4 linked regions of the Elephas maximus indicus genome follow. The protein of the gene in region 3 interacts with the protein of the main gene of each other region in a pairwise test. Links are inferred from orthologs where the notes say so. Each region holds a gene or a part of one and is shown on either strand. Other genes may lie near its edges. The genes, in order: TRIM41, PAK1IP1, MEOX2 and CHIC2.

Evidence for each region.
Region 1: the proteins of MEOX2 (region 3) and TRIM41 interact in binary tests that used the Homo sapiens proteins (3 or more experiments, as listed by UniProt). The two-hybrid records come from large-scale screens. The link is inferred for Elephas maximus indicus from reciprocal best matches to the Homo sapiens genes MEOX2 and TRIM41.
Region 2: the proteins of MEOX2 (region 3) and PAK1IP1 interact in a two-hybrid assay, tested with the Homo sapiens proteins (2 studies listed by BioGRID). The two-hybrid records come from large-scale screens. The link is inferred for Elephas maximus indicus from reciprocal best matches to the Homo sapiens genes MEOX2 and PAK1IP1.
Region 4: the proteins of MEOX2 (region 3) and CHIC2 interact in binary tests that used the Homo sapiens proteins (3 or more experiments, as listed by UniProt). The two-hybrid records come from large-scale screens. The link is inferred for Elephas maximus indicus from reciprocal best matches to the Homo sapiens genes MEOX2 and CHIC2.

What each region holds. Positions count from the first base shown.
Region 1 is NC_064820.1:199,954,016-199,960,991, forward strand, and holds the start of TRIM41 (E3 ubiquitin-protein ligase TRIM41), read right to left. Parts: upstream 3,015-6,976; 5' UTR 2,715-3,014; coding exon 1,902-2,714; intron 1-1,901.
Region 2 is NC_064819.1:54,151,064-54,158,993, forward strand, and holds the start of PAK1IP1 (p21-activated protein kinase-interacting protein 1), read left to right. Parts: upstream 1-4,926; 5' UTR 4,927-5,046; coding exon 5,047-5,130; intron 5,131-7,524; coding exon 7,525-7,690; intron 7,691-7,930. UniProt on the Homo sapiens protein: Negatively regulates the PAK1 kinase. PAK1 is a member of the PAK kinase family, which has been shown to play a positive role in the regulation of signaling pathways involving MAPK8 and RELA.
Region 3 is NC_064826.1:76,480,163-76,487,173, reverse strand, and holds the start of MEOX2 (homeobox protein MOX-2), read left to right. Parts: upstream 1-3,997; 5' UTR 3,998-4,284; coding exon 4,285-4,798; intron 4,799-7,011. UniProt on the Homo sapiens protein: Mesodermal transcription factor that plays a key role in somitogenesis and somitogenesis and limb muscle differentiation. Required during limb development for normal appendicular muscle formation and for the normal regulation of myogenic genes.
Region 4 is NC_064823.1:107,538,610-107,545,891, reverse strand, and holds the start of CHIC2 (cysteine-rich hydrophobic domain-containing protein 2), read right to left. Parts: upstream 3,018-7,282; 5' UTR 2,635-3,017; coding exon 2,516-2,634; intron 1-2,515.

The sequences.
Region 1 (6,976 bases), on a different chromosome or scaffold from region 3:
GTGCTACTGGATGGGTTCGAACCACCAACCTTTAGGCTAAGAGTTGAATGCTTAACTGTTTATACCACCCATGGACTCCCTTCAGGGCCTAAAACAGGATTTTCAGGCAGCTGGCATTTGGTAGATGTGACCAATACAAATAAAATCCAGTTTCAGAAGGTCCTTAGAGGAGTCCTGCAGGAGAGTGGAGGAAAGGAGGTGGAATGCCCACGGAGAGTCTATCCCTGGTTCCAGTTAACGGAGTGACTGCACATTGTGTGACTGGTACAGTTAACTAGGAACTGAGGGGATATAAAAAGACAACGGGTGTTCATAACCTCCCATAAGGATACACGGGTAAAAGGCAGGTGATGTTAACCAATGCAGTGATTCCTAAACTGGGCTGGGCTCTCCTAAGAATTCTCCCCACACCAATTCAGAATCTCTAATGGTAGGACCCACTGTACTTTTGAAAAGTTCCCCTAGGAATTATGAGAGTTAGCCAGGTTTGACAATCACTCCTTGAAAGGAATAGTTAGTGATAAAGGGATATAGGTCTTAGCCGTACATACTCAGAGCTGAGAAGCCCTAGACATGTTACTCTAAAATTGACATAACAACAACAACGAACCTAACTTGAGGTGACTGTAGGAATCAGGAGAAGGTGTGAAAACACAAGTCAGAGCAAAACAGCACCGCACAGACCACAAAGAAGTAGCCACCCTCTCCTTCTCCTGGTCCTGCTGCTTTCAACCCATCCAGGCTTTGGCTTAGTAGTATTTACAAACAAATCTCCTTCACCTATGTCCAAGAAGAGTCAAGATCAGAAGAAGGGGGCAAGATATTACCCAAACCAGAATCGGTCTCCAAAGAGGAAGGTCACATGTCAGAAATGTCAAACTAACAACAGACATCCAAATGGTGGTAACAGCTTCTAATGGATCGGGGGGCAGGGGAGTCATAACCAAATCCATTTATTAGTAGCTCTGTGGTCCTGTATACATTACACCTTTCTGGTTCTGTCTCCCAATCTGTAAAACGGGAATGAAAACATACCAAAATCACAGTTTTTTAAGCTTTAAATAAGAAAGTCCAGGAAAAGCGTTTAGTAGAGTACCTGGTATACACAGTAAGTGTTCGATAAATAAATTAAAAAACCCAGTAAATATTAACTATTAATCCTGACTTGATGGCACCTAACAACAACAGCAATCATGGAGAAATTAAAGTTCAAAAGATTCAGAGACTTGCCCAACACTTGACGGCAAATAAGTGGCAGAACCAGGTCATCTAACTTAAAAAGCTTCTCTCTTTTTTCTGTATGTTACAAAAAGTAAGAAGTTCTGGTCAGTATATCAGACTGCTGCAGATCCTACAAAAGTTCTCAAGGGGAGAACCAAACCAAATCATGGGGTGGGTAGGGAACTCCAGTCAGGAGACAAGTGGGGGGCACCTGTCATTTTTACGCTCTGCTTCAGAGCCCAAATTATTGTTCTCTGAGAGTCCCCATCTCTTGGGGTCTCCGTCAAAGACAGGCTTAAGATTTACCCAGAGGAAGTGGAGACTAGTATTAAAGCACTAGGGGCCTGTCACCTGCACTCCTACACTTAGGGACAGTGGAAGAGTGAAACAGTAGTGGCCTGCTCTACGGGAGATGCAGCCCAGTAATCTGGCATCATCAGCTTTGCCTTATATCCTTTGAGGAGGCCAGTCTTCGCTGGTCTTCTTTGCTGTATCTCCTTTGTCGGTGTACAGGACCCTTCTGACCCTACCCCACCTGGGTGCCAGTAAGTAAATGCTCACATAAGGAGAATCAGCTCACCAGTACATGAGGTTCTTGGGGGGGAAAGACGCTTCCATTTCCCAGCTCCCCTTACTTTCTCTCCACCCCCACTAAATTCCCATCTTCTCTCTTCTCTCACCTTGTACTCCTGCACCACCTCCTCCAATGGCACCACGCTGTGCTGTTTGTGGCTCCTGGATTCTCGGCACACTACACAGATGGCCTCTTCGTCCACTTCACAGAAGAGTTTCAGGGCTTCTTGGTGTTTGGGGCAGATGCCCTGCTCGTTCCCACGACTCGCTCGACCAGGGGCTGGGTGCATCTGCCGAATCACTTGGACCATGTTGGCTAGCTGCAAGTTCGGACGGAAGCTCCGCCGGGGAAAGCTCTTTCGGCACTGGGGGCAAGTGAAGCACCTCCGAGGGGCAGGAGGCGGAGGCAGTGGGGTGACGGGATCTAGCTCCTCTTCCTCATCCTCCTCCAGTACCTCCTCCTCGTCCTCCTCATCCTCCCCCCTCAGGTCCTCCTCCATGTTCCCCAAGTAGTAGTCCAGGTCTTCCTCCTCGTCCTCCTCCTCCCACACGTAGTCCATGTTGTCCCAGTTAGACCCGCCCATGCCATTGGTCCAGAACACTCCCTCTTCTTCCTCCTCGACCTCCTCCTCCATATCGCCCTCATAGTCTTCGTCCCGCATGGGGGTGTCCCACCCCCCGCCGGCTCCCACAGCCTCCACTTCTTCCTCGTCTCCGTCCTCCTCCTCCTCCTCCTCCCGGTCTAACTCGTCCCTGTCCTCTTCATCCTCCCCGCCCCACAACTGGGTTACACACACTCGGCAGAAGTTGTGCCCGCAGCCGATGGACACGGGGTCCGTGAAGTAATCGAGGCAGATGGCGCACACCGCCTCCTCCTGAAGGGTCTGCACAGGGTTGGGTGTCATGGCAACGGCAGCCATCTTAGCGTCCAGTCAGCCAGTTTAGATGTACGGTGGGGGCGGGGAGGGGGGCGGGGGGTCTTCCCTCTCAGACGCCCTGGCGACCCGGCCCCACCCCCAGCCCTGCCTCTCCACAGCTCGCTTCAAGTGCCGCCTGAGAAATGTTCTTCTGACAACCCACCCCTCCACACAGAGCTCCCTACTCCCAGACGACAACCGTGTCTCTGCGTGGGCAAGGGAAAAAGCTGAACGCTATCGCCAACTCCCTCAGGTGGCCCTGAGTGCAAATCCACCCCAACGCTTCCCTGGCCTCCTCATAAACCCCCGCCCCTCCTCACTTCCTGGCCCCGCCCCCTCACTTCCGATTTCTCACCCAACACTTCCGGCGTCTACGCGCCAGACAGGCTCGTGAGTTTCCCCCCCCTTCCCCGGTCCCTGGGCGACAGGAAACGGCGAGGAGACGCTCTAGCGGGCACTCGGGAACAGGGCGGGAGGGATAGGACATAGGAGCCCTACATCTCTGTGATGCGGCGGGGTGCGGAACGCAGAGCAAAAGCCCCGCCCTTCCCCTCCTCAGTCACTGGAGAGAAACTTGGGAGAACGGTGGGAGTACTTGGCGGCTGTCCGCTCTCGGTGCCATGACCGAATCGGCCGGGCGCCCCCCTACCGGCCGAGTACAAATGACACCCGGGCCTCAGCGCTGCCGGTGCCGGAAGCAGAGGGGCGGGGCTTCCTTGAGCGCTCTGCAGCGCTTCGGCCCTTCTAGGCGGAGGACTTTGTTGTTCGAGCGCTCAGATTTCCTCGGTGATGGATCAGGGGGCGGAGCCAGAGACACCCTACCACTATAGTTGGCCTTGTCAAAAACCTCAATTGTTTACAGAAACATGAAAAATTAGCGTAACGGAATATATTTATTGAGTAGATACTATTCCACTCAGGCAGCGGTCACCCGAACGTGTTGGGAAGACTCTCCGAGAGGAGACTGTGAAAGCGGGTTATAAAGGTCAATGTTATGTTAATTTATCAAGAGATAACATCAAGCACAGGGCAGGTTACAGAAACAGTCAACAAGGACATGCCATATATTCTAAAACAGCCTTTAGCCAGACCCTGGAACTTCTGCATTTCGAAGCTGAATGCACAATGCCTAAGGCCAATGTCTCTGCTAAGCGGCATACTGAACTCGTTTGACCTGAAGGTGACTCCAGGGAACCAGTTCTTTAAAGGTTCAAAAGAACACCTAAGGGCTGATGGCCTGGGTGGGTCACCCCACTTCCATGAACCCAGAAATCTGGATTTCAGGAGAATCAAAACGATTTTGTCAGCATCTTCCATGCCCATTTTAGAGATTGTTGCCTGATCACTGTAGCCTCCTGTAGGTGAACTTCCCTAACTCCCATCCGTAAAGGGATGGTGACAGATCTTCACACGAGGAGCTCTGGAGTCGCAGTGGTTAAGACCTCCACTGCTAATCAAAAGGTGGGCAGTTCAAATCTACCAGCTGCTCCTTGGAAACCCTGTGGCCGCTCTAACCAATAGGGTCACGCTGAATGGTAATCGACTCTACCCAATGGGTCTGGCTTTTGGTATATCCACACAGTGGAACACTATCTGTAAAATGCAAATCCATCTTCAAGATTTATTAAGTGAAAAAAGCAAGATACAGGCAATGTCCGGGCTATGAACGAGATTCCTTCCAAAAGTGTGCCTTTAAGTCAAACTCGTAGGTAAGCTGGAACAGGTGCATATGTTTCTTATTTAGCCTTCAGTGCAAGAAAAGTCTCGATGCCTTTTCAGTGATTTAAAAGTTGCCTGTGCAGCAAGTGAAGGTGATTGTGATGAAAAATTTGTTGCAAGTAGCAAGCAGTTGGTTCAATCATTTAAAAGTAAAGACAAATTTACATAAAGGGCAGGTACCAGTTGTCCATAAGTCTGACATCAGTAATCTCGGGACTTACTGCACAGTGTGTAGAGTATGTCCTCATCTGTAAAAAAGAGGAATATGTTTCAAAGATGTATTTGATATTTGCACATTCCTGCGCTTCAGTTTACTCATGCAAAATGAGGATAATAGTACCTACCTCAGAGGTTTGTGAGAATCAGAGCAAATATGTAAACCGACAGAACAGTGCTAAGCACATAGTAAGCGAGATACATTAGCTACGCATTACTTATCCTTTTCATCAATGTCTCTGCAAAGATACTGGCAGCCGAGTTCTGCTGAGAAGGCAACGGAATGGCCAAGGGTCACGAGTAGGAAAGACACTTTCCCTGTATCTTTCTGTCTTCTTTGAATTTTGAACCAAGTGAATGCATTACCTTAAAAAAATGAAAATACAAAACTTTCTAAATGCCATCGATTAATTCAACTAATACTTTCCGAGCTGTGCACCACACATATTCTGCTCACAGAAAGCCTCAAGGTTTGTCTTCTTGGTGCCCTCGTCTACGAACAGGGCCTCGGACTGGGTTTGTGGAATTGATTTTACTTGAGGCAATTCTGTCCAGGCTGTGGAATTGTAGTAGTAAAGATGCCGCTGTGGTACCCAACATCACTACTAAGTGGATTTCATGTGTGATAGCAGTAGTTCTAGATGCTTTGTTTAAACTTCTTGTAATTAACAGCAATAACAAAAACCTGTGAGCCAAGTTCCTGCCCATAATGTTCCCGGTGGTGCAGTTGTTAAGTGCTCGGCTCCTAACCGAAAGGTCAGCTCTGAGACAGAAAGATGTGGCAATAACCTCCAGTAAAGATTTTTTAAAAAATGCGAATCACCCTATAGGACGGAGTAGAACTGCCCCGTGGAGTTTCCAAGGCTGTAATCTTTACAGAAGGGCACTGCCACCTCTTTTCTCCCACTGACCTGCTGGTTGGTTCGAACTCCGGTTAGCAGCCGAGCGCTTAACCACTGCACCACCAGGACTCCTTCCACAAAACGTTACAGCCTTGGAAACCTTATCGGACAGTTCTACTCTGTCCTCTGGGGTCGCTATGAGTCGGAATGGACTGAATGGCAATGGGTAATGTATGTGCAGAATTGCCAGCGAGTGCCAAATGCTGAGCGGTACCAGGGCACCACATCCAGAGTTTACCCCTTTTTTTTTGGAGACACTTTTCGCCTCGTGAGGAACTCCAGAAGAACAGGAGGTTCCGAAGTGGGTGGTCCGGGGACTCTGAGCGGCTGACCCAAGGCGCGAAAAGCCACGAACCCGGCGGTTCGCAGAGTGCGCGCAGATGTGAGCTGAGCGGGCGCCCGCCCAGACGCACTGGCTTTAGCGCTAGAAGTCAGGCCACGGGACTTGAACACTGCGGAGTGGCAGTGCGACGCGCCTTTGCGGATTGCAGTCGCACTTAGAGCTGCCATTCTCTGCCACGTGTAGTTTGAGGATTGTATTAAGGATGTGCTGATAATCTGTGTTTTTGTAGTGTAGTGGCTATCACGTTCGCCTCACACGCGAAAAGTCCCCGGTTCGAAACCGGGCGGAAACAGCCTTTTCTGGTCTATTTTTCATTTCGATGCCCACGTCTTCACGGTTATCTCGTCTGCGGCTCGAGATAGGGGGAGGGTGCTGTCACATGGAGGCATATACAGACAGATGTGTGTATCTAATCTGTGTTTCAGGGAAACAGTAAAGCGCGATCACAGCAGAGCTGGGCTCACACCAGATCATAAATGTTCACAATGTCAATTCAGCTAAAAAAAATTTTTTTTTTTTTACTACTCTTGCCTTCGGAAGCCTGGGCCGCCACCTCCTCCGGATAAGGGCTGTAGGTTGTAGGCTTCGGATCCCCGGACCTTTGTGTCTAGGGCGCAGCCAGGCGCACAGTAAGTGATCCATGAATTCTTGTGCAATTAATTCTGCAAAACTCCTTGAAGTGTGTCCGCACGCCTGCTGTGTATCCCGGTTTCCTGAGGCCGAAGAAAAAGGGTTGCGGATGTTGTCAGACTATCTCAGTCGGTAGGGCACGAGACTCGTGAACTCACGGATTTGAGCCCCACATTGGGCGTGTATTCTCTTTTGAAAATGAAAATGGCTAAGGAATTTTTGTGCCAAAGAAGAGTCGGAGGGAGACTGAGTGGGCTTTGGCATCGTGGACTGGCGGTGTTCGCCGAAGCTTGGCCAGACAGGAGGTCGCCCAGGTACTGACTAGAAGACCTCGAGTTGGAAAACCCACAGCCGTAGGGCTTTGCTGACCATAGGTGAACGAGTAACTGGTGGGTATCAGCCGACCAACTCTTGGGGCTCTTCACCCTGGGTCACGGCTCCGCCTGCTGCCATCT
Region 2 (7,930 bases), on a different chromosome or scaffold from region 3:
GCCACACGTTTCTCTTGAGGGGAGGTTTGGTGGGGGCGGGGGGGGGAGCAGCTGTTGGTTTTCAAACGCTGCAAGCTTTTAACCACTGCATCTCCAAGGCTACTTTGATGTAACAGGCCCAGCTAAAGGACTACATTTCCCAGCTCCCCCCGCCCTGCAGCTAGAGGTAGCCAAGTGGCCAAAGTCTGACTAATAAGATGTAAACAGAACTGTTCTAAGGGGCTTCAGGAAGACTGCATAAAGGGAGTTTGCTCAGCTAAAGAAGCCTTTTTTGTCCTCCACCCTTTCTCCAGTCCTAGTGCTGAGAATACAGATGTGATGGCTGGAGCTAAAATAACTGCAGTTATTTTTTTTATCTTGGACTATGAGGTGACATCAGGAGGAAGTCATGCATGAGATTACTGGATCTGAAAGAGAGAAGGCATCCGAGTACTTGATAATTGTGGAGTCCCTATTATCAGCACTAGATTGCCGCCTCAGACTTCTTTTATTTAAGGAACAGATGTTTTGCTTAACATGATTCCTAACTACTGTAGCGGTTTAGACATCAAATAAAACATCAATTAAGGGACTTAAGACTTAAGCAATCTTTTTGTAAAAACGTAGTTTTTTTTTTCTTCTCCTCATTTTAGGACTGACTTTATTTTGTACAAAGAAAACCAGAATTTTGACTATGAATGAGTGGGAGATGAGGCTGTAGTTGGAAGGGTATGTGGAAGTTGATCACTGATAATGAGGTGATAGGAGGCTAAGGAAGGGAAAGGCCCAAGTATCATGTTGAAACCACACAGACAGATAGCTGGCAAGAGCTGGGGTGCATAAGACCATCCCCAAGGTTCCGCAGATAAAGATGAACATTCAGGGGCTCTGTAGATGACACTGACATAAATATTTCCCTCTCTGAAAGCCCCAAATACAAACTTCTCCTCTCACCTGGATTATTCCGATGAAGCAAGTGAAGCAAGTTTGTATCAGGACAGACGGCATCCAGGGGAAGGAGACCACTATCTCTGCATCTCCTTGGCTCTAAGTACAAATGGGACCAAAGCCCTCTGGGGAGTACAACCTTATGCAACTCCTGAACCCCTACAGCCTAGCAGATATGCTACCTGCCACATCAAGAAGTATAACTGAACAGGAATAGTCGATTTTCACAGCGCTGCTAACAGAGCCAGTTTTCCCTCTACTGTTTTCTGCTGTTAGCCCAGGATACCCACCTTACCACCAAAAGTAAACAAGTTGCCATCGAGTCAATTCCAAGTCATGGCAGCCTCATATGTGTCAGAGTAAAACTGCGGTCCACAGGGTTTTATGGCTGTGACCTTTCAAAGTAGATTGCCAGGCCTTTCTTCTGAGATGCCTTTAAGTGAGTTCAAACCTTTCAGTTAGTAGCCCAGCACTTAACCATTTGCACCACCCAGAGACTTACCACCACCCCCTAAAAAGAAAAACTGGCTGTGTTTTTATTTTCTTCAGCAAGCCAAACAAAGCCTGGCACTGAATAAATGTTGGAATGAGTATATCAATGCATGGGTAAGTGCAAAAAGCTTTTCAGTCAATAACTTAAAAGCAAAAAAAACAAAACAATGCTGCTGTGCAAAATGTGTTGATTAATGAACTCTGAACAATTGGTTGTTTCTTGGCAACTGTAGTTTTCACAAGGATAAGATTAAATGGCTTTTTACATCCTGTGTTTGGAGAGAGAACAGAACAAAGGTTTTACAGGAAGTATGCTCCACTCCAATCCAGTTGGACAGGTGTATAATCTTGCATGGTGTATTTTTCTCCAGACAATGAGAAACTGTGACCTGAGCAAGTTATGAAACTACTGCCATGGCAATGAATAAAATGGAATGCTGCTCCTTCCTTCTCTGTTAAAGAGAATCTTCAAGCCCAACCATTCTCGACATTTCATTATTTGCAAGTTAATGTTGGATTAGTGCATTCTGCCTTTATGAGCCACTAATCCCTTTGGAAACCCTGGTGGCGTAGTGGTTAAGTGCTATGGCTGCTAAACAAAATGTCTGCAGTTCAAATCCACCAGGTGCTCCTTGGAAACTTTATGGGGCAGTTCTACCCTGTTCTGTAGGGTTGCTATGAGTCGGAATTGACTCGACAGCAGTGGGTTTGGTTTTGGGCTTAATCTTTTTGAAAATTTACTTAAATTTTACCAATGCTTTCCTCCCAAAATCCACATACACAGTTTTGCATGTCACTTCACGGATTTAAAGTCTCTAAAACCTAGCCATAAATCCTGCAGATTAAGAACACGTGGGCCAGACACGCTCTCTAAGGTCCTTCTGAGCTCTACAATTAGTTCCACTCATTTCTAAAAGTAAAAAGAATAAACAAAACCACAGAGTTATGCCTATGTTGCTTTGACTCTGGATTTCATTCTAAAACCCACTAATACATATTCTAAAAGATTCCTGATTAGAGCAAAAGGCTTTTCAAACCATAAGGTTCTTCTCTGAAATCTGACAAATACTGGAGCAGGTGTTAAGTGTGACACTCTGGTGACAGATACTGAATATAGTAATTATGCTGTAGAATGTTAGATTAGAAATTAATTTCAGAATATATACATTTAACTATTGCTGTACTTTCCAAAGGGCCACTGGTGATACAGTGGTTAAGAGCTCGGCTGCTAACCAAAAGGTCAGCAGTTCAAATCCACCAGCCACTCTCTGAAATCCGTACTCTGTCCTGTAGGGTCACTAGAAGTCGGAATCCACTCGACGGCAACGAGTTTACTTTCCAAGCAACAGATCAGATTTCCTTGGGAGGATGAGGCAGAGTACATGGGCATCCAACAGAATATACAAAGCATGTGATTTGTAAACATCAGTTTTATTCAAAGTTGTTTTTCTTTTTGGATGGCAGATTATTTTGCATTAAATATGAACACATATGTCATGGAGTAAAATGAAATAATCATATTTTTTAAGATAAAATGAGACAAAAAGATTTTCTACTTACTCCTTTGGTGCATGACCAACAGACTCCCCCCCAGGAATTCACACTTTGACTTTAGTAGTACTTTGGTGGAAATAGTTAAGAAACAATAAATTAAAAAACAACTTAAATAAGATAATGTGACTTTTTGTAACATAGTGAATATAACTAGCACAAACAAAGTGAGGGGATTATAATTCTCAAGAGACTGAGAACCAGATGGGCTATAGCATTTCAGGTTCTGAGGACAGACTATTACTTATGGAGCTGCCACAGCTGATAGAAGACATGGCCTTCCTGGAGTTGCAATGACAGCCCATCAAAGCATCCAGTGAAGTCATTCTGACAAAGACCCAAACCAGTATCAATTAAAACAACAATACAACCAAATGGGTTGCGGTGGAGTTGATTCCAACTCATAGTGACCCTATAGGACTCCGAATTATCAGCACATAATTGTTTTAATTGATCCCTGGCGATGCACAGGTTAAGAGCTCGGCTGCTAACCAAAAGGTCATTAGTTCCAATCCACCAGCCACTCCTAGAAAACCCTATGGGGCAGTTCTACTCTGTTGTACAGGATGGCTATGTGTTGCAATCAACTCCACCGCAACGGGTTTGGTTTTTCTTCTTTTCTGATACTGACAATTCACAATATCAGAGAACAAACGTTCTTGGCAGCAAAAAAGGTCTGAAGTGCTAAAAGGATTGCATTACATTTCAAACGGGGTTGAAGATTTGACATCCAAGTATGCATCTAACACCTGCTTTCCAAGTCGACCTGCAATGGCATTTATGAAAACTAATTATGCGTCCCTGGGCGGCGCAACTATTTACGCGCTGGACTACTAACCAAAGGGTTAGAGGTTCAAACCCATCCAGAGGCACCTCAAAAGTAAGGCCGAGCAATCTACTTCCAAAAAATCAGCCACTGAAAACCGCTGGAGCACAGTTTTACTCCGCATACATGGGGTCGAAATGAGCCGAAATTAAGGGAGCAATTTACTCTATCGGAAGTGTGTAAAACTTATAGTTTCTAATACATCCCTAAATCTCCATACCGTATGAAAACCTCCAACGTAAAAGGCAATATTTACCGTTTGATTTTGCCCCTAACCGGTGACGTTCCTTCTGGAATGTTCCCCTTCTGTTAAGTCAGTCAGTTTTTATTATACCTCCCACGTGGTGCGTCCTCCTCCCTATAATGTGCCCCAACCCTACAGGTCCCAGGTCCGATCTGAGAGTCAGCTCCAAGAACCAAGGTGGAAGGAAAATTGTGCTGTGCGGGACTGCGTGGCCCGCGCAGACGGGAGTCCGGGAAGCGGACTTGCAGAGCCCGGACTTCAGTTTTGCACACCTGGCCCTAAAGTCCGCCGACTCCGGTGACTGCGAAACCTAAATCCCAAACCTCCTTGTCCTCCTACGAGAGAATGTGTGTGTGAGAGAGAGGCTCGTCCCGTTGCTTCCTGCACAAAAACGAAACCTAACTCCCCTTCACCTGTATCACAGCCCACAACACCGCATCCGCCACACTAGGCCGCCGCGACAGCCTCCTCCCGCTTTAGGCCGGAAGTTGGCCCTGCTCCTGCCTGAGAACGTCAGGGAAATGAGGGGCCTCCGCAGAGAACGTCCTGCCCCGCTTCCCTCGGACGCACCTAGCTCACGAACCAAAAAAGCCAGTGCCGTGGAGTCGATTCCGACTCACAGCGACCCTATAGGACAGAGTAGAACTGCCTCATAGAGTTTCCAAGGAGCGGCTGGTGGATGTCAACTGCCAACCCTTTGGTTAGCAGCCGTAGCAGTTAACCACTACGCCAGTTTCCTAGAATATGTCTGCGTACCCCAATTTTTTTCTTTTTACAATAAGAACCATATCCTCACGTGACGTTGTCTCCTCTTCTTTTCTTGGAAAACCTGCGTCATCTCCGAGCGCTGAAACTTTTCACGGCTGCAGGCGCCTAAAAGGCAGCCCCATGGCCGTGACGTATAATTTGCGCGCCGACGAAGGAAAGCCCCTGCTCCTCTTGGGCAGAGCGCGGTACACTCCTTTACGCTGTACAGGGCTCTTTGAAGAGACACGTGCGCTGTTGAATGGAGCTGGTCGCTGGTTGCTACGAGCAGGTCCTTTTTGGGTTCGCTGTGCACCGGGAGCCCCAGGCGAGCGGCGACCTCGAGGTGAGAGCCGACTCCTGGAGGGGCCGCCGGAGGCGGGGGAGGGGTCAGGTTGGTTCCCACGTGGCAGAGGTAAACATTTGGGCACCTGATGTTTGTCGTCTGATGTCTGTGGATTAATTGGTGAATCAGACTCAGAAACTTAAATAAAAAGTTAGCCTTTTAAAACCTGCAGTAGGCATTTCATAAAAATGATCATATCTATTAGATTAGAGAAAATGCCCACAGTAAAGGAAGGAATCTGGCATTTCTGAACGCGGGCAAATGAGTCGTAGATTGTGGGTTTAAGGGTTGCTCCCATAAGCAGACCGCGGTTTAGCTCTTCAGAATTTAATGAACAGTTCGCTCATTCAGTTCAGTTTTTGTTCTGGAATTGTACAACGTATTAGAGCTGGGTCAAGATAAACTCAAAATAAAATGACACCAATTCGTTGGATTATTCGTTGAGCACTTACTGTGGGCTAGGCAGTGGAGGTGCAAAGATGGGGAAGATATGAATCCTGAAGACATCCCCTCCATAATGGTGAAGGACTGGGGAGACGGAAGTAATTATGTTACCAGATTATGAATAAAAATGTTAAATGAATTGCCAGTAGTCAAACAGGTAGGACATGCCCGGGATTAGAAATTACTCTCCTAATTTCTAGCTGGTACTATTCTTTTCCTTTTCCTTTAAGTAATCCTAGGTATCTGTTAGAAACCTATTTCATGTTTATCGTTAACTAAGGTGTCAGTCTGGACCTAACCAGAAAACTGGAAGTATATGACTTGACTAACGGCTTTTGTTTATTTTGTTTTCTAGTCTAGTATAAATCAGTTTTTGGCGGTTGCTTAAAGGTGACATGTCTAAATAGTCAAAGATGATGCTATTAATTGTAGGTTCTTTGTAATAAATTTGTTTACAATGTTCCAGACATATAATAGTCCTCATAGCAAATCTCTAAGGAAGGTAGAGTTATCCTCGTTTTACAGATGAGGAACCTGAAGTTTAGATAAGATCTGCTTAATGCCAGGCTGCAAATAAGTCCCCAGATGTCTTTGACTCTTGAAGCTCTTAACCATTATCCGATGTTGTTGTGTGCCTCTATAGGACAGAGTAGAATTGCCCCACAGGGTTTCTAAGGCTGGAATCTTTACAGAAGAAAGCTGTCACATTTTTCTCCTGCACAGTGGCTGATGGGTTCAAACTGCCAACCTTTCATTAGCAGTGGAGTGCTTAACCACTGTGCCACCAAGCCACCTTCATTACCCACTGCTTCTAAATCTAGACAGACAATTGCCTAAACAATCAACATTGCTTTCATAATGTGTACAGGCAGGAGTTATTCTTTGATTTCTGGGTGTAGCAGCCCCTCAAGAAAGTTGTGCCTTTGTGCAAAATTATGGAGGACCATCTGTTGCTTTTAATTAGGGATTTATTTGCAGTAACACATCTTAACCTGTGTATTCAAAGAAGTTTGTTGTTGTTTTCTTTCTTGGGTTTACTTGTTTGTTTTTTGGCTGATATTTCTTGGTGTGTCTCCTTTAATGTAAGGCATACTGTTTGTGTATTCTGCTGTCATTCTTTGCACTGATGCAATCACACTGTGAAATCCAGAAGTTACATGGCAGTGAGTGTAATCGTTGGTGATTCTTCACAGCTTATATTGGTACTAATGCAAACATCTTACCCTGTTAGTTTTTCTTTATAAACTTGTTCTGTATTTGTTTATTGTCTGCCTAATGGAAAGAAAGCTCCATTAGGTTAGGGACTTTGGTCTTCTTTGTTTACTGCTATATCTCAAGTAAGAAGTGACTCGATGGCACCAAACAACAACAACTGCTTAAAATAATGCCAAAACCCGTTGCCGTCCAGTTGATTCCGACTCATGGTGACCTTATAGGCCAGAGTAGAACTGTACTTTAGAGTTTCCAAGGAGTGGCTGATGGATTTGAACTGTCAACCTTTGGGTTAGCAGCCGAGTTCTGATAAAACCAAAAAAACCAAACCTGTTGCTGTCAATTCTGACTCATAGCAACCCTAGGCATTCGGTATTTGAATCAATAAATTCAAGTCAGAATTTAAATATTTGAGTGAAAGAATGATACAGAAGTCTCACATGTAAGTAAATATGTAAGGAGTTAAAGATTTGGAGGGAACTTTAAAAGTCCCTCTAGTCCAGTCTTCATGACCGTGTCCTGGAGTCATGATACCTGGCATTCCTGTCTCACCTTCCACTTGCCTTCCTTATTCCATTCTCAGGTGATTTTTTTTTTTTTTTCGATCTACATATTATTGTGTAGTTTCTTCTCCATTGGTGATATCCATTGGTAGTTTTCACAGATTGTGGAACCGTTTATCTGTCTCTGGAGTACTTGGATGTGACTGTGGCACTGATGGTAGGTTTTACTCTTCAGCAGAAATGGACCGCTGTGGCTGACTTCACTCACCATGCCCACACTGCTTCCTTGTCAGCCGTGGCTGTGAATAGTCGTTTTGTAGTCACTGGGAGTAAAGATGAAACAATTCACATCTACGACATGAAAAAGAAGATAGAGCATGGGGCTCTGGTGCATCACAATGGTAAGACAGCTGTATTGTTTAAGATAATATGGGGGCACTGTATTTTACAATGTGCTTTTAGGCAAACAGTTCATTAAGCCAGTATTATGGAGCAGATCCTGTGCTACAGGACATACAGATGAAAAACTTGGTCCCTTGCTTTCAAGTTGCTTACAGTCTGCCTTGGGAGATGTAAGGAAATGCTTAACTTAGTCAGGGAGGGCTGGGGTGGGGGCTTACCTAAAGGATCCTTAAAATTAC
Region 3 (7,011 bases):
AGAATCACTAAACAACAGGAGTTAACCAAAAGCAAATTATTTCTTTAAATTTTATAATATAGGCTCCTGGAGGAAGCTAATTCCTCAGTTTTGTAAAATATAGTATATCATAAATCACAGAAATCATCACAGCATATTTAGGATATTTGTACATATTTTCAATTTTTTTTTTCCAGAAAGACCAACTGAAAGGCATTAATGTTATTTCTTAGGGAAATATTAGAGATACAATGTTTCCATCTTCAACAAAACTTTCAGAGACAAATTTCCGTTTCAATATAATTACTCACACGCAAATTCATCTGGTTATATGTTACCAAGGCAAACATTTGTCTATCAGGTGAAATGCAAAGTAGAGTTTTGTATCTGTTGATAAACATCATATTTTATTTTAAATGTTTTTATTTTTATCACACCTCACATCACAAGCATACAGGAGAACGGCAACTCTTATAAGAATCATAATAAATCTCAAGATAAAGTTTAAATACAAAACTTGCAGATTGCTTAATATGAGTTCTATTTTCCTTAAAATAGTGCTAATCAAAACTATCTTTCCCTTTATTATTTAATATGATTTCATTTAAGCAGAGGGAACAATAGATACATACACTTACAAACTTTAAAGAGTCTAACACATGTTTAAAATTATTTTGACAATGTTTCCTACAAGAGCTGAGCAGGTTACTTTTTTCATACATTGAGCCCCTTTATAATGTGCCACTTGGTATTAAACTTTGTATGAAATATTGTCATTAACACAGCATGCTTTTCAGGAAAAGTTGAAGGATATTGTAAATATAGACTACTGCACGTTCCATATATAGTTTAAAATAATTGTTATAGAAATCTTACGATAAATATTTAATTATTATCATTCTTCATGATATAGCTAGCCATTAGAAGTTAAAAGGCATCTTTCAACATTGGATTTTATAAATGTGGACACTGAAGTAGTCATTACAGGAAATGCTAGGGATTTTTTCCTGTTGTTACTATACGTTTAAAAAAAAATTCTCTATGGCCTAGAGAATAAAACCCAATATTCTATCTTAGATATTCCAAATATCTAAGAAATTAGAATATTAAAACCGATGTATGAAATAACACATACATATTTGAAAACTGAAATTTAAAAAAAGCATATATAATTCCAAAATGCACCCATATATTCTAAAAACCCCCTTTTTGACTCCTTTCTTTGCATTATACTTCTTTTCACTTTCAAATAACATTTTCCTTATATAACGCTTTCAACTGAAAATTGGGACTTACAATTGTTACTGGTATTAAATGTTCTGTGTCTTCCATTAAGAAGACCTTTCTTGCTAGCTTTGTGTTAATTGCATGCCTTTGGAAGACACTCCCTCTCTCTTTCTAACCTTTACTAAATTTTTCTTCCCAGACTCTTGGCCCCACAGTTCCAGAGGCTGACTGACTAAGGCAGGTTGTAGAGAAACTTCTGGATATGTTGTTAACATCTGACACAGCGAAGTGAGAAAAAATCCAGTCCAGTCACCAGGCAGGTTCAAGGAGAAATGGCAGCTCCTGGAGATGAAAAGTTTGCGTGGCTAGTTGCTAGTTACCTGCAACACACTGATTAAATTCAAATCCATTCTTTTTTCAATGGCTTAGCTCCTTCTCTATCACTGTAATAGAAACCAAAAGGACCGTTATGGATATCTTTTTATTGGGGTCTACAAATCAAGTGTGTCTTTAGTCAATCTTGTCTGATATTTTCTACAGTTTAGTAGACAATATTAAACCCACTGCCAATATTACATTATGTAAATATTTCTGGCTACTGTTTATTGAGGTAAAAAGTTGCCTAAATTTCTATTTGGATAAACCCTTTAATAATTTTACCCAGAACCCGAGTTTGGGACCTTTAGTATTGCTCTTTGTACTTCAACTTTTAATATCAGAGCACATATTGAAACGATAAACAAAATGAAAATTCAAAAAATATTCCTTCGATATTGAAAGAATATACCCTTCCTTTTTTTACTCTTAAAAAACCAAAGGCGTGGGGAGTGGCAGGAAGAAATATTCTTAAGATCTAAGCTCTGGCTCCCGTCCTATGAATACTTAAAACCCCTAAAAACGTGCAACCTGAAGAACACTCTCTTTCGAAGTCTAAAACAATGTTAGATTCCCAAAATATCGGCAAAGAAAGTCTTACCGTCAAACGCTTGCAGCAGGTTCCAGCTCAGACCAAGACTGAAAAAGCGGAGCAGCTGGTGAACAAAAGTTTTAGGTTTTTTTTTTTTTTTTTTTAAACGAAGTCTGCAAAACTAATTTTCCTCAAAATAGGGCTCAATTTCCGTTAAAGAAAGCAGCGCTTACAAATCTCAGAATTCCTGATTACCCCCACCCCATCCTCTCAGTAATGGAAAATAATTCGATCTTTCACACGGATGTAAAGGTTTATTGCGAAGCCACCACACTGTAATAGAACTTAAAAGCAAAAGCTAGAGAGAATCAGGCTGAGGCTGGAGAGACTGGGCGAGAGGAAAGTTCTGCCTTGGGGACACCGCTCAAAGGTTAATCAATACTTTTTCCTAATTCAAACCAGATGGCTGGCCCAGTTTGCTGTCTCCATTAATTCCATTAACAACTTCAAAGACCTGATCACCGTCCTCTGGACACCTGAGACAATGAAAATAATGGCGCGACGCTGCTGGTGGCGCATTCGGGGGCCACGGGAGGGATAGGTGACCGCAGATATTCTCCTGATGCGACACGTCGCAGGCAAGACCCGGCCGTTCCTGCAGCTCATTACGCGCGGTTCGTTTGTCGTGTGTAAATGACTTTGCCCCTAGCAGACAGGGTCGCCCCCAAGCAAGTGGCAGTATCAAAGGCAGCGCCTGCCCCTTCTTGGAAAGAAAATCGAGTACAGCCCTCTCTCGCTGGTAGTTACCGGTGGCAAGTTTTCTAATTTTTTTTTGAGGGGGGAGGATGCAAAATTGTTACTAGGGAGGCCCAAAGCCCCCAAATTTAGTAAACTTGGGGTGAGTGTGGGGAGTGTAAATGGACCCATGGGGGGATGCGAGCAACTGATTTATGTTTGAACGGAAGAGAGTGGATTGCTGGAGGGAAATGAAGGGACTAGGGCTCCTGAGGGGAAATGTGCGTGCCATCTACACATTTCATGTGATCGAGAAGAGAGCACTTTGTAATATTCCTGACCCAGGAAAAGTTCTCCTTGGTGGGTAAAAAAAAGTGACCAGGAAATTGAGCGGGACCAGGAACGGGTACGGGTAGCGTTTGCGGAGGGCGGGGGGGGGGGGGGAGGGAAACCCCACCTGGCATCGCAGGTGAGGATGCCAAGACCTGGGTATCTGCAACTCTACCCGCCTCACGCATTCCTCTCACCCACCCCACCAGGTCCTTCTCCTTTGAGCACAGAGAGCTGCCGTTTCCCGTTCGCGTGAACATCCCTGCAACCTCGGATTTGGAGCCTATTAACAACCCGCCCACAGACACCAGCGGCACAAGGCTGGGAGCGCTGCTGCGCCCAGGGCGCAGGAACTTTCGAAGTTTGAAAAACTGACGCCTCGGAGCGCGCGCCAAACTACCGCTGATCTTTTTTCTCTATGTTATTGGCCCTTCCGTGCGTTTCCTGCAGGTGACAGTTCCCAAGTGGCTTTGACAAAACATGTTTCCTGAGAGAAGTGAGCTAGTTGAAAACTGGGTGCTGGGTTGGGGCTGCGATGCGCCGCCGCGCGTCTTTGCCGATTGAGCCGCAGGGAAGAGCACTGCCGGCCCAGGCTGCGACCTAGGCGCCAGGAGCACCGCTTGCAACTTTGGCGTCTAGCAAGGTTGTGACGGGTTTAGAAGCACTGCGTCCGCCCAGCGCGGAATAGGAAGTGAAACTCCGAGCGCGCAGCGCAGACTGAACGAGGGTTTTGGAGGGAGTTTGCATGTGGTCAGCGCTGGGCTCCTAAGCCAGCCCCCAGCTCACATTACACTCTATTTATAACCTCTCAGAGCAGTTTTCCCCTGAAAGCAGTTCTCTGGGACCACCTTCTTTTGGCTTCAACCTCTCCTCCTCTTGACATCTGAGTAGCTCAGTGGAAAGCTCCTCCAGGTCCGAGTGTTTATATGTAAAGGAGACTGGCCGCTAAGGCTCAGGACCGGGATTATCCCAGCTCTGCAGAAACGCGCGGCTATTGCTGTGGGAGGGGGGTGGGGAAGTCACAGTTTCCAGTGAAAACTGACAGAGCTTGGTGGCTTTTGGAACCTTCGTGAAATCTTCTGTCTGGAACCTGAGACTTGCATGCTATGGAACACCCGCTCTTTGGCTGCCTGCGCAGCCCCCACGCCACTGCGCAAGGCTTGCACCCGTTTTCCCAGTCCTCTCTCGCCCTCCATGGAAGATCTGACCACATGTCCTATCCCGAGCTCTCCACTTCTTCCTCGTCTTGCATAATCGCGGGATACCCCAACGAGGAGGGCATGTTTGCCAGCCAGCATCACAGGGGTCACCACCACCACCACCATCACCACCACCATCACCACCAGCAGCAGCAGCACCAGGCTCTGCAAACCAACTGGCACCTCCCGCAGATGTCCTCTCCCCCGACTGCGGCTCGGCACAGCCTCTGCCTCCAGCCGGACTCTGGAGGCCCGCCGGAGCTGGGGAGCAGCCCGCCGGTCCTGTGTTCCAATTCTTCTAGCTTGGGCTCTAGCACCCCGACAGGAGCTACGTGCGCGCCAGGAGACTACGGACGCCAAGCGCTGTCGCCCGCGGAGGCGGAGAAGAGAAGTGCCGGCAAGAGGAAAAGCGACAGCTCAGGTAAGGGCGCGCGGGACACCCTCGGCGAGAGTGTGCACGGGGCTGGAAAGGAGGCGGAGAGATGCCAGGGAAGATTCTGGCAATACAATGAGGCAACAGGAAAAATGGGACCTGTTTGCCCTTTCTGGTTCTCCGTAGACTAATTCAACGGGGCCGTTTTGGTTGTGTTATGGGGTGCACGAGTTTTTCTGTGGGCAAAACAAGTGCAGCCAGCAGCTTTAAGCGCTCCAAGGTCCCATACTAGTTCATCAGAGGGTTGAGAAAAAAGGACAAGTGACATTACTGAAATAGATTGCGAAGCTTGTCCTTCCGCCCGAGGGGTGGGGAGGGAGGTGCGCCAGGGGATGCTGTCTCCGCCGCCGTGTGCGTGCGGGTGCCACTCCTTGACTTCTCCTTTGTAAGTTCCCGACTCGGAGTTGCTCGATTTTTCCCATCGTTAACTCGATTTCCAAATTATTGCACAATATTTGGAACTTGCAGTGGAATTTGGCAGAGCGCATGAGAAAAAAAAGTTCTAGTTTTTTTTTCTAAATTCTTATTTCAGAGTTCTTTAAATAGCACTTTTTTCCAAATGGTAAAAAAAAAAAAAAAAAAAAAATTATCTTCCTTGAGGAGAAAGACAGTATCTAGGAATTCCGAGGATTTTAAGCAATGTGTCAGAGAATTGTAAAGAAATAAGTAGATGTTCAAACTCTTCAAGAAAGAGAATTCTTAATAGTAGTTCGCCTTCTCTGGGTACTCATCTAAAGAGAAAACGTTGAGTTGCAAAAGTGGAACATAAAATACTCCTCTAATTGGGTATTATCTGGGGACAATTACTGTGAGGCAAAAAAGCAACTCCGGTAGTTTTGGTTTGCTGCGTGCCTGAAGCTCATATGTGAGGGTGAGCGCAGGAACCACTGAATTTTATGGAGATAACTTGAGTAGCCACGCAAAAGAGGAGCCTTCCTCAACTCCGGTGCTTACGGCACAGCTTGCCAAGTAAATTTTAGTAATTCTGAGAAACAGACTTTTCCAGAGAGCTCTTAAAAGCCCTTACCTATCTGTATCTTACGAAATTGCTGAATGATACTTAATAGTTGCATTTTTGAGTTTTCTTCTGCAGCTGCGGCGCGACCTGGGTTCCATCTTTTTGGAAAGTGTCACTTGTTTAATGTATTTGCATATTTATCTTCCTTTGCGAAATTGGTTTAATAGTTTCAGAAGGTAATCCTAGGTAATGGTTTCAAGCTTTGAAAATGTTTATTCTTTATAAAGCTTTAGATAAGATCCTACATAAATGACAATGACTGAGCCGCGGATTTCATTTCCTTAGCAGCAATAGTATCAATCTTCAGGGCTGGTATGGACTACAGCCTTCTGTCACAATCTCAAAACCTAACTTTTACTTTTCAAGGTCAGGAGTGAATTTCTGATTTTTCATACCAAAGTAGTTTATATCTAAGAGTTACCAGCTAAGTCACTCATTTTTAATGGATTTTACTTAGTGTAAGTGAAACTCTCAAGACAGTGAGTTAAAAGGCTAATCTTGCAGGAAGGTTTACATCTTCATTAGGAAAAGGAAAAAAAAAAAGGTCCTTTTGGAATACAGTAACGTTTTTATAGACTGAGCATTTGACAGTGTAACTTTGGGAAAGCAGATCCCAGTTCAGATTGGTCAGTCTACTTTTACAACTACCAGAAGCTCTTACCGTTCATTTTACTCTCTGCAATGAAAAATCTATGTGAGGGATTATTCCTTACACTGACTGAACTGAACCAATGCACCTAAGTTCCTTAGGACAAACTGCCTTTTCATACAGATACATGTTATTTTGGTTGGCGGAAATAGAGAAAGTGGGATCTAAAAGCTGGTTGTGTTAAATTATTTTAATAAAAACTTTTTGAAGCTCCTTGGCCAATAGTGCTACTCCAGCTCCCCCCCTCTTGTCGGAAGCTAATCACATAACGAAGTCTATTCTTACAGATTGACGCTAATTACTAGAGTTATGGAAAAACAAAGAAAAGTTTGTCAGCTGCACAAACTATTAATAGAACATAACTTGATTGGGAAATACTTTTAGTCATCACCAAGGGTAGGTTCACTGGAGACTTAGAGTGAGTTTTTCTTTGATGGGATATTTTGAAAGGATTTTTGACTAAAAGGAATATCGCAATAGTTTCTGATTAAACATATGTATATTCATTAAAAATAAAATTTAAATTGCCAATTT
Region 4 (7,282 bases), on a different chromosome or scaffold from region 3:
TGGTACATCTTATTCTTCGTAGCATGTACTACATACAATATTGCAGCACATAACTGCTAATATTATCATTCTTAAATTTTCACTTGCAGGTGTTCAAAGATTAGATTTATAAAGATAAGCCAAACCCACTGACGTCGAGTAGATTCGAACTCAGTGACCCCACAGGACAGGGTAGAACTGCCCCATAGGGTTTCTGAGGCTAATGTCTTTACAGGAGCAGATCACCACATCTTTATCCTGCAGGGCAGCTGGTAAGTTTGAACCGTTGAAGCCCAGTGCTTAACTACTATGCCACAAGGGGTCCTCATTTATAAACATACTGCTAATAAAAGGTAGGGAAACCCTGGTGGCACAGTGGTTAAGTGCTACAGCTGCTAACCCAAGGGTCAGCAGTTCAAATCCGCCAGGCGCTCCTTGGAAACTCTATGGGGCAGTTCTACTCTGTCCTATAGGGTCACTATGAGTCGGAATCAACTTGATGGCACTGGGTTTGGTCTTTGGTTTTTGGAATAAAAGACAACAATAATGAAAACTAAAAAAGAGAGAGAGAGATTTGACTTACATCAGAAATGACTTATGACAGAGTCGTCAGAACAGAACCCTGTTTTAAGTTGGGGACTGCCTATACAATCCGATTTACTGATCACCTATTTGGTTCTGAGCACTTCAGTCATTATATTTTCCATTTAGGCACCCAAAGTGTTTAGCTTTTCTTTACCTTTAACAAAGGAAAGAGTACAACTATGTTGATGTTGTTGGGTGCCATCGAGTCAATTCCGACTCATAGCGACCCAAGAGGACAGAGTAGAACTGCCCCATAGGGTTTCCAAGGAGTGGCTGGTAGATTCAAACTGCCAATCTTTTGGTTAGCAGCCTAGCTCTTAACCAGTGCACCGCCAGGTTTCCAGTACAACTATAGCTCCACCTTCTTAAATAACAAAATGTCACCAGATTTTCTTTGACACGAGGAATGTATAAGAACAAGGGGAAGAGTAGACAACATGAAAAAGTCTGAAAAATCCCTTCTTTAAGCACTCATTTACTCCTCAGGTTTAAAATAATGTAAAAAGACCTTAAGAGTTGAACTAAAAATTAAATGTCAGGTTATGAGACTAAAAAAGTTCTGCTATGTATGTTAACAAAAGGCTTAATATCCAGATTTGGTTATATGTATTAACTGCAACTGGTAATGAGAGTTAAAACAGTAACTGTTATTGTGGTGATAAATTCCATTGTCTTATGGTGCTGTGACAGCAATTACACAGTGTTTTACCCTGGTAAATCACGTGAATATAAACTAACAGGTGTTAAACAGACCAAAGCATTACATAAGCATACCCAAACAACAATATGACTAGTCATATTGTACACTGAAAAATGCAAGGATTTTGCTGAAAATCTTACATGAAAGTCTTTCTGTTGTTTCACTAAGTTATTCACAGCACATGCCACTCATCCTATACCAAAAATATAATGAAACTGCTCCAGATAGTCTCAGACTTGCTGGTCCTTCTATTTTACTAAAAAGGTAAAGCATATATGAAAGTTTGATCGATGATCTAAACAAAAGGCCTAAAATGACAACGTATAAATACTTCAAGTTGTACAAAACTCTGGACTTCTCACAGAAACATACAAAACTTCCTGCTTCCAGACAGCTCATTATTTGGTTCAAGTCTTCACATTCCTTTATTAGTCATGACTCTTCAGAAAGCTTTCATTCCCTATTGTTTGAATAATATTGGACTTTTACAATGTTGCTAGCCAGATTTACAAAAAACCTTATCAAATGAAGAAGCCATGCTAGGGTTCATGGCCCAAGAAGGGACTTAGATTACTGCGAATCCTCAGTAACCTGAACAGAGTGTGTCTATCATGTAGATTTTTAAAAAATTAGTTGTAAACGGTATATCTTTCTGCACATTTTAATTATACTTTCGTTATATATTGTATCATAAACAATTACAGGAACTTGCCATTAGTTCCGCAGAAACTAACTCTGAAAGAAACTGGGAAGACCTGGCGTATGTGTGAAAAACACAAACGAGAGTGAACCTCCATCCTGATGGTCACTGCAGTTTCCATGGCCCAGATCTGGCCTCCGGAACATATGTCACTAGTCTCAAAGGCAGAGAAGGAGAGACCCGCAGGGTAACTGGATGAGAAAACAAGGGAGGGGCACCTCGAAAATACGTGTACTTCACCCCAAAGCTGCAGGTAGCCCGCAGAGCAGATTCCGAAAGAAAAACCTTCGCTACTGGGATCCGTCACATTGCCCAGGCCTGTGGGGCCTGCTAAAAGGGGTGTGTGGGGCGAGGAAGGGCAGTGTCTGTCCCTACTTGGGAAACCCAAGCAAATGAAAATAAAGCAAGTTCTCACTTCCTGGTCGCCTTCTCTTGCCGAAGGCCCCCGACAGAAGCGGACACCGAGGGGGAAAGGGGCTCCCGAGGTGTAAGTGGGGCCCACCCATGGCCGGCACCTCCCGTCCTCGCCCTCACCCTCCTCCGGGCCTTACACGGTGACGTGACCGGAGCCGCGGACCACCACCGGGTCCGGAGAGTACTTGAGCAGCTGCTCCTCCAGGGCCCGCTCCTCGTCCTCCTCCTCCTCATAGATCTCGTCGAAATCCGCCATCCCGAGCCTCCGCGACCCCTGCCCAAAGGGGCCTGACTCAGGAGCTGGGGCGGGGGTCCGGGCTGGCGAGGCGGCGGAGGCTGAGGGGAGTTGCTGCCGCCGGCTCGGAGGCCGCGGAGTTCGCTCTAGGCTGTCTCTCGGCTCCGGCTACAGAGGAGATGGGGTCCCGGCCGTCGCCGCCGCCATTACCGTCAGCAATAACAACACCAACAATGTCAACATCCGCCCGCCCCGGGGCCGACACCTCCACCAACACCACCGCTGCCGCAACAGCAGCAGCAGCAACTCAGGCAACCACAGCAACAGCCCGAGCCACCCGCAGCGGGAGCAGCCGGCTACGACATCGCGAGACTTCCCGGGAGTGCGGGCAAGCGCGTGGGCGCAAGAGCGGGCTGGCGGGCGCGCGCACTTGGCAGCCTCGCGCGCTCCCAGGCCGCCTTCCTTCCTCCACTCCCACCGCAGACTCCGCCTCGGGCGCGCGCTCCCGCCAGCGCGGCCCCGCCCTCCTGCCCCGGGAAAGGGGCGGCTCTGGGGAATGGCAGCGAGACCTGTTACCCAGAACAGTGCGGAGCGTCCAGTGGAGCGTACAGTTCCCCAAAGTAGTCTCTAACCAAAACAAACAACGAAGAATAAAGCCCTGGTTGGAATTGGAAAATTTATCCCGCATATGATAGCCAGTTTATCTAATAATCTAATCTCTCTTTTCATCAGACTTTTCGGACTGTGAACCGGGGTCTGTATTTTCCCAATTTGAGGAGCCAAACAGACACAGTGCAAACATTTTTGTCCACTTTACTACAAGATTTTCCAACACATCTCCAAATTCATATATCTTGCCCTATTATCCCCTTAAATACAGTCCAACTTATGAGGCCAAGTCCCGAAATCTTCTTTCAAGAAAGATCACCGTAGTAGCGCCAGGAAATGAAATGGATAATAATTCTCTGGGTTCTAGATTCGAAGATGCAGTTTCCTGCCCCAACTCTCCCCCCCTCCCCATAATCAGTTTTCTTTCTTTAAAAGCTTAAAGAATTCCTTTCAACTCCCTCCACCCCCGCCCCGTCCTCCGCAAAAATAAAAAAGATTGATTTCCGTTTACCTGCCTAGACCTCTGGTCAAGGCGTTAGGGTCATCTCGGGTACTTGATCTCAGAGCCAAGAACTTGCCCAGGCAAACAAATACTGCAGGGGCAGGAGTGGACTTCTGAGGACAGAGTCCTGGATAGTGAGAACATACTGTGAGGGGAGGAAGGAAGAGTCCCACCCCACCCGGAATATTCCCCAGGTACTCTGTTCACATTAAGGTAGTTCACTTAAGATGCACCATTTGTTGAAGAGGAGATTGTGCAAAGGAGAGCAACGAGAACAGTGAGAAATGACAATCTCCTCTTGGGAATGGTTGAAGGAAATAAGCAGTCAGCCAAGAAAAGAAGGAAAAACACAGCAGGTGTACCAGACTTGTATCCCTCCCCAAAACGCATTTATTCATTCAGCAAATTTTACAGAGCTCCAGCTAATTGGCAGGCAATGTGCAAGTGTGTGAGCATGTGTATGAAGGAGGTACAGTCCCAGCCTTCCAGGAGTTTATTTACCTTTAAGGCAAGCAGTTATAATTCTCTACCAAGTGTTCCTAGTCAAGTGTACCCTTTGTAGTCTACTTGATTCTGACTCCTAGAGAAGTATACAGATGGTGTTAATGGTGCACACAGGAGGCAGCTTAGTCTGGTGGTTAACGCATTACTGCTTGGCTTTGCATTTCAGCTCTGCCTCTTACTATGTGACCCTGAGCAAGTCATTTAACCTCTCTCTTCCTCTTGTGTAAAATGAGGATAATAATAGTACCTACACGTCATGGATTGAATTATGTCCACCCAAAATGTGTGTCAACTTGCCTAGGCCATGATTCTCAGTATTGTGTGTTTTGTGACCTAAAGTAATTGTCCTATGTGTTGTAAATCCTAATCTCTGCCTGTGGTTCATGAGGCAAGATTAGATGATGTTAAAGAGGATTAGGGTGGGATGCAACACCCTTACTCAAGTCACAGCCCTGATCTGATGTAACGGGAGTTTCACTGTGGTGTAGCTTCCATCACCTTTTATTTTACAAGAGATAGAAGGTGAGAGAACTGAGCAGAGAAGGGGGGACCTACCACCACCAAGAAAGAAGAGCCGCGAGCGAAGCGAGTCCTTTGGACCCGGGGCCTATGCGCTGAGGACCTCCTAGACCCAGGGGAAGATTGATGAGGACCTTCCCCCACAGTGAAGAGAAAGAGAAAGCCTTCCCCTAGAGCCGGCACCCCAATTTTGGACTTCTGGCCTGAATAAATTTTAGTTTGTTAAAGCCACTTGTGGCATTTCTGGGATAGCAGCACTTGATAACTAAGACACTATGTCACAGGGTTGCTCTGAAGGTTAGATCCATTGCTGCCCAGCCGATTCCAACTCATGGCAACCCCGTGTGTTACAGAGTAGAACTGTTACATAGGGTGTTTTTAGCAGTAATCCTTACAGCTCGGAAGACAGGCCTGGGAGATTTGCTTCTGAAATGTCATAACCTTGAAAACCCTATGGAACACAGTTCTTCTCTGACACACACGGGATCCCCATGAGTTGGAATCGACTTAACAGCAACCAACAACAATAACAATAAGCTTTATAGAAGCAGATCACCAGGCCTTTCTTCCATGGCACTGCTGCATGGGTTCAAACCACCAACCTTTAGGTTACCAGCAAATCACAAACCACTTGTGCCACCCAGGGACTTGCTCTGAAGATTAAATGTCTTTATACATGTGAAGTGCTTAGAACAGTGCCCGGCACACAGGCGACATTGAACAAACTCTAAGGCCCCATCCAGAGTGCCCCCAGACTCTAGAAGGATCATTGCAATTTTTGTATTTGTATAGTGCTTTACGGAAACCCTGGTGGCTTTACAGTTTTTGATGCACATACATAATAAAACATGTAATATTCCCCCAAGAACTCTGTAAGGTAAGCAAGGAGAAATGTCATTTATTACTTAGTTTCAGAGGTGCTATGTGACTTACCCATATGACTATTTTTTTTTTTAGGACAATCATGTTAATTTAATGAATTTGAGGAAGTATGTTTCCACAAGTACATTGCCACAAGGAAATCATTTTCCAAACATGATACAAAGTATTTTACAGACTACATTTTATAAAATTATTATGACTGATATTTATTTATTATTTTTAATAATTTTTGTTGTTGAGAACATACACAGCAAAAACATACACCCAATTCAAGTTTGTACATGTACATTTCAGTGACACTGATGACATTCTTCGATCACATAATTATTTAATGATCAAACTCAGGGCTTCAACTCCAGCGCACTGGGTAAGCCAGACTCTGAATTTCCTTCTTGGCAGAAACTAGGAGGTAGTCTGCACTCAGTAGAAGGTGCAGCTGCAAACGGGAGGGTAGGAAGAAAGAACAAGAGGAAGGAAGGTCAGCATGGTCCTAGCCAGCCCGCATTCCGTGTGCTGTGGCTGTGAATTTACCTTTCTGCAGAAACAGTGGCCAAGGTAAGAGGCTGGCACCCCAAAGTATCTAAATCATCACGTAGCTGACAACTCCTCAAGGGCAGAGGAAGTCATGCACAGCTACGTAAATCTCCAGCGCTCTCCACAGTTCCTGCTTCAGAACTCAATAAATGTTATCTGAATTGAGATATATTATTACTAGTGCTATTTCCAGAATATCATGAGTTCCTTAGGCTTCAGAGGACTGTGTGAACCTCACCCTTATCTTAATACCAGTTCAATGTGGGAGAAATGTTCTTTTTCTAAGATCTATTCAACAGAGAAATCTTTGTAACTCCCACGGCCTGAGTGTAAGGTAGGGCTGCCTTATTTTTGCTCTTCCTATTTTGCTCTTCTGTTTCCTGCTCTGCAAAAAACCTGTCAGAGCCAGCAAAAAGGTGTGGGACCTGGTAACAAGGCTGAGAGGGTGAAGGAAGATGAGTCAAACATTTTCCTGATGACAATTGACATCAGAACTCCAAGCTCCATGCCCGACCTCCTAGAATCAGGTTTCCTGTCAAACTCCTTCCCCCAATCACTTGTGGAATGAACCACAGTTTTTCAGTATCTTTTCCCTCTGTCAGGTGCTCTCCTGTTCCCTGCTAAGGGCCCATCCCTGCATGGACATCTCTTCTTTTGAGTTCCCCTTTATACTCCTGCCTCACGCACTTTCACATTTACCTCCAGAGCAGATGGCTCAAACGGAAACCGGATAAAAAGAACCAAAAAAAAAAAAAAACCCAGTTGGCATCCAGTCAGTTCCAACTCATGGCAACCCCCTATGTGTCAGAGTAGAACTGTGCTCCATGGGGTTTTTTTGTTTGTTTGTTTTCAAACAATTTTTATTGAGCTTTAAGTGAACGTTTACAAATCAAGTCAGCCTGTCACATATAAGCTTATATACACCTTTCTCCATACTCCCACTCATTCTCCCCCTAATGATTCAGCCCTTCCAGTCTCTCCTTTCGTGACAATTTTGCCAGTTTCTAACCCTCTCTACCCTCCTATCTCCCCTCCAGACAGGAGATGCCAACACAGTCTCAAGTGTCCACCCGATACAAGTAGCTCACTCTTCATCAGCCTCTCTCTCCTACCCATTGT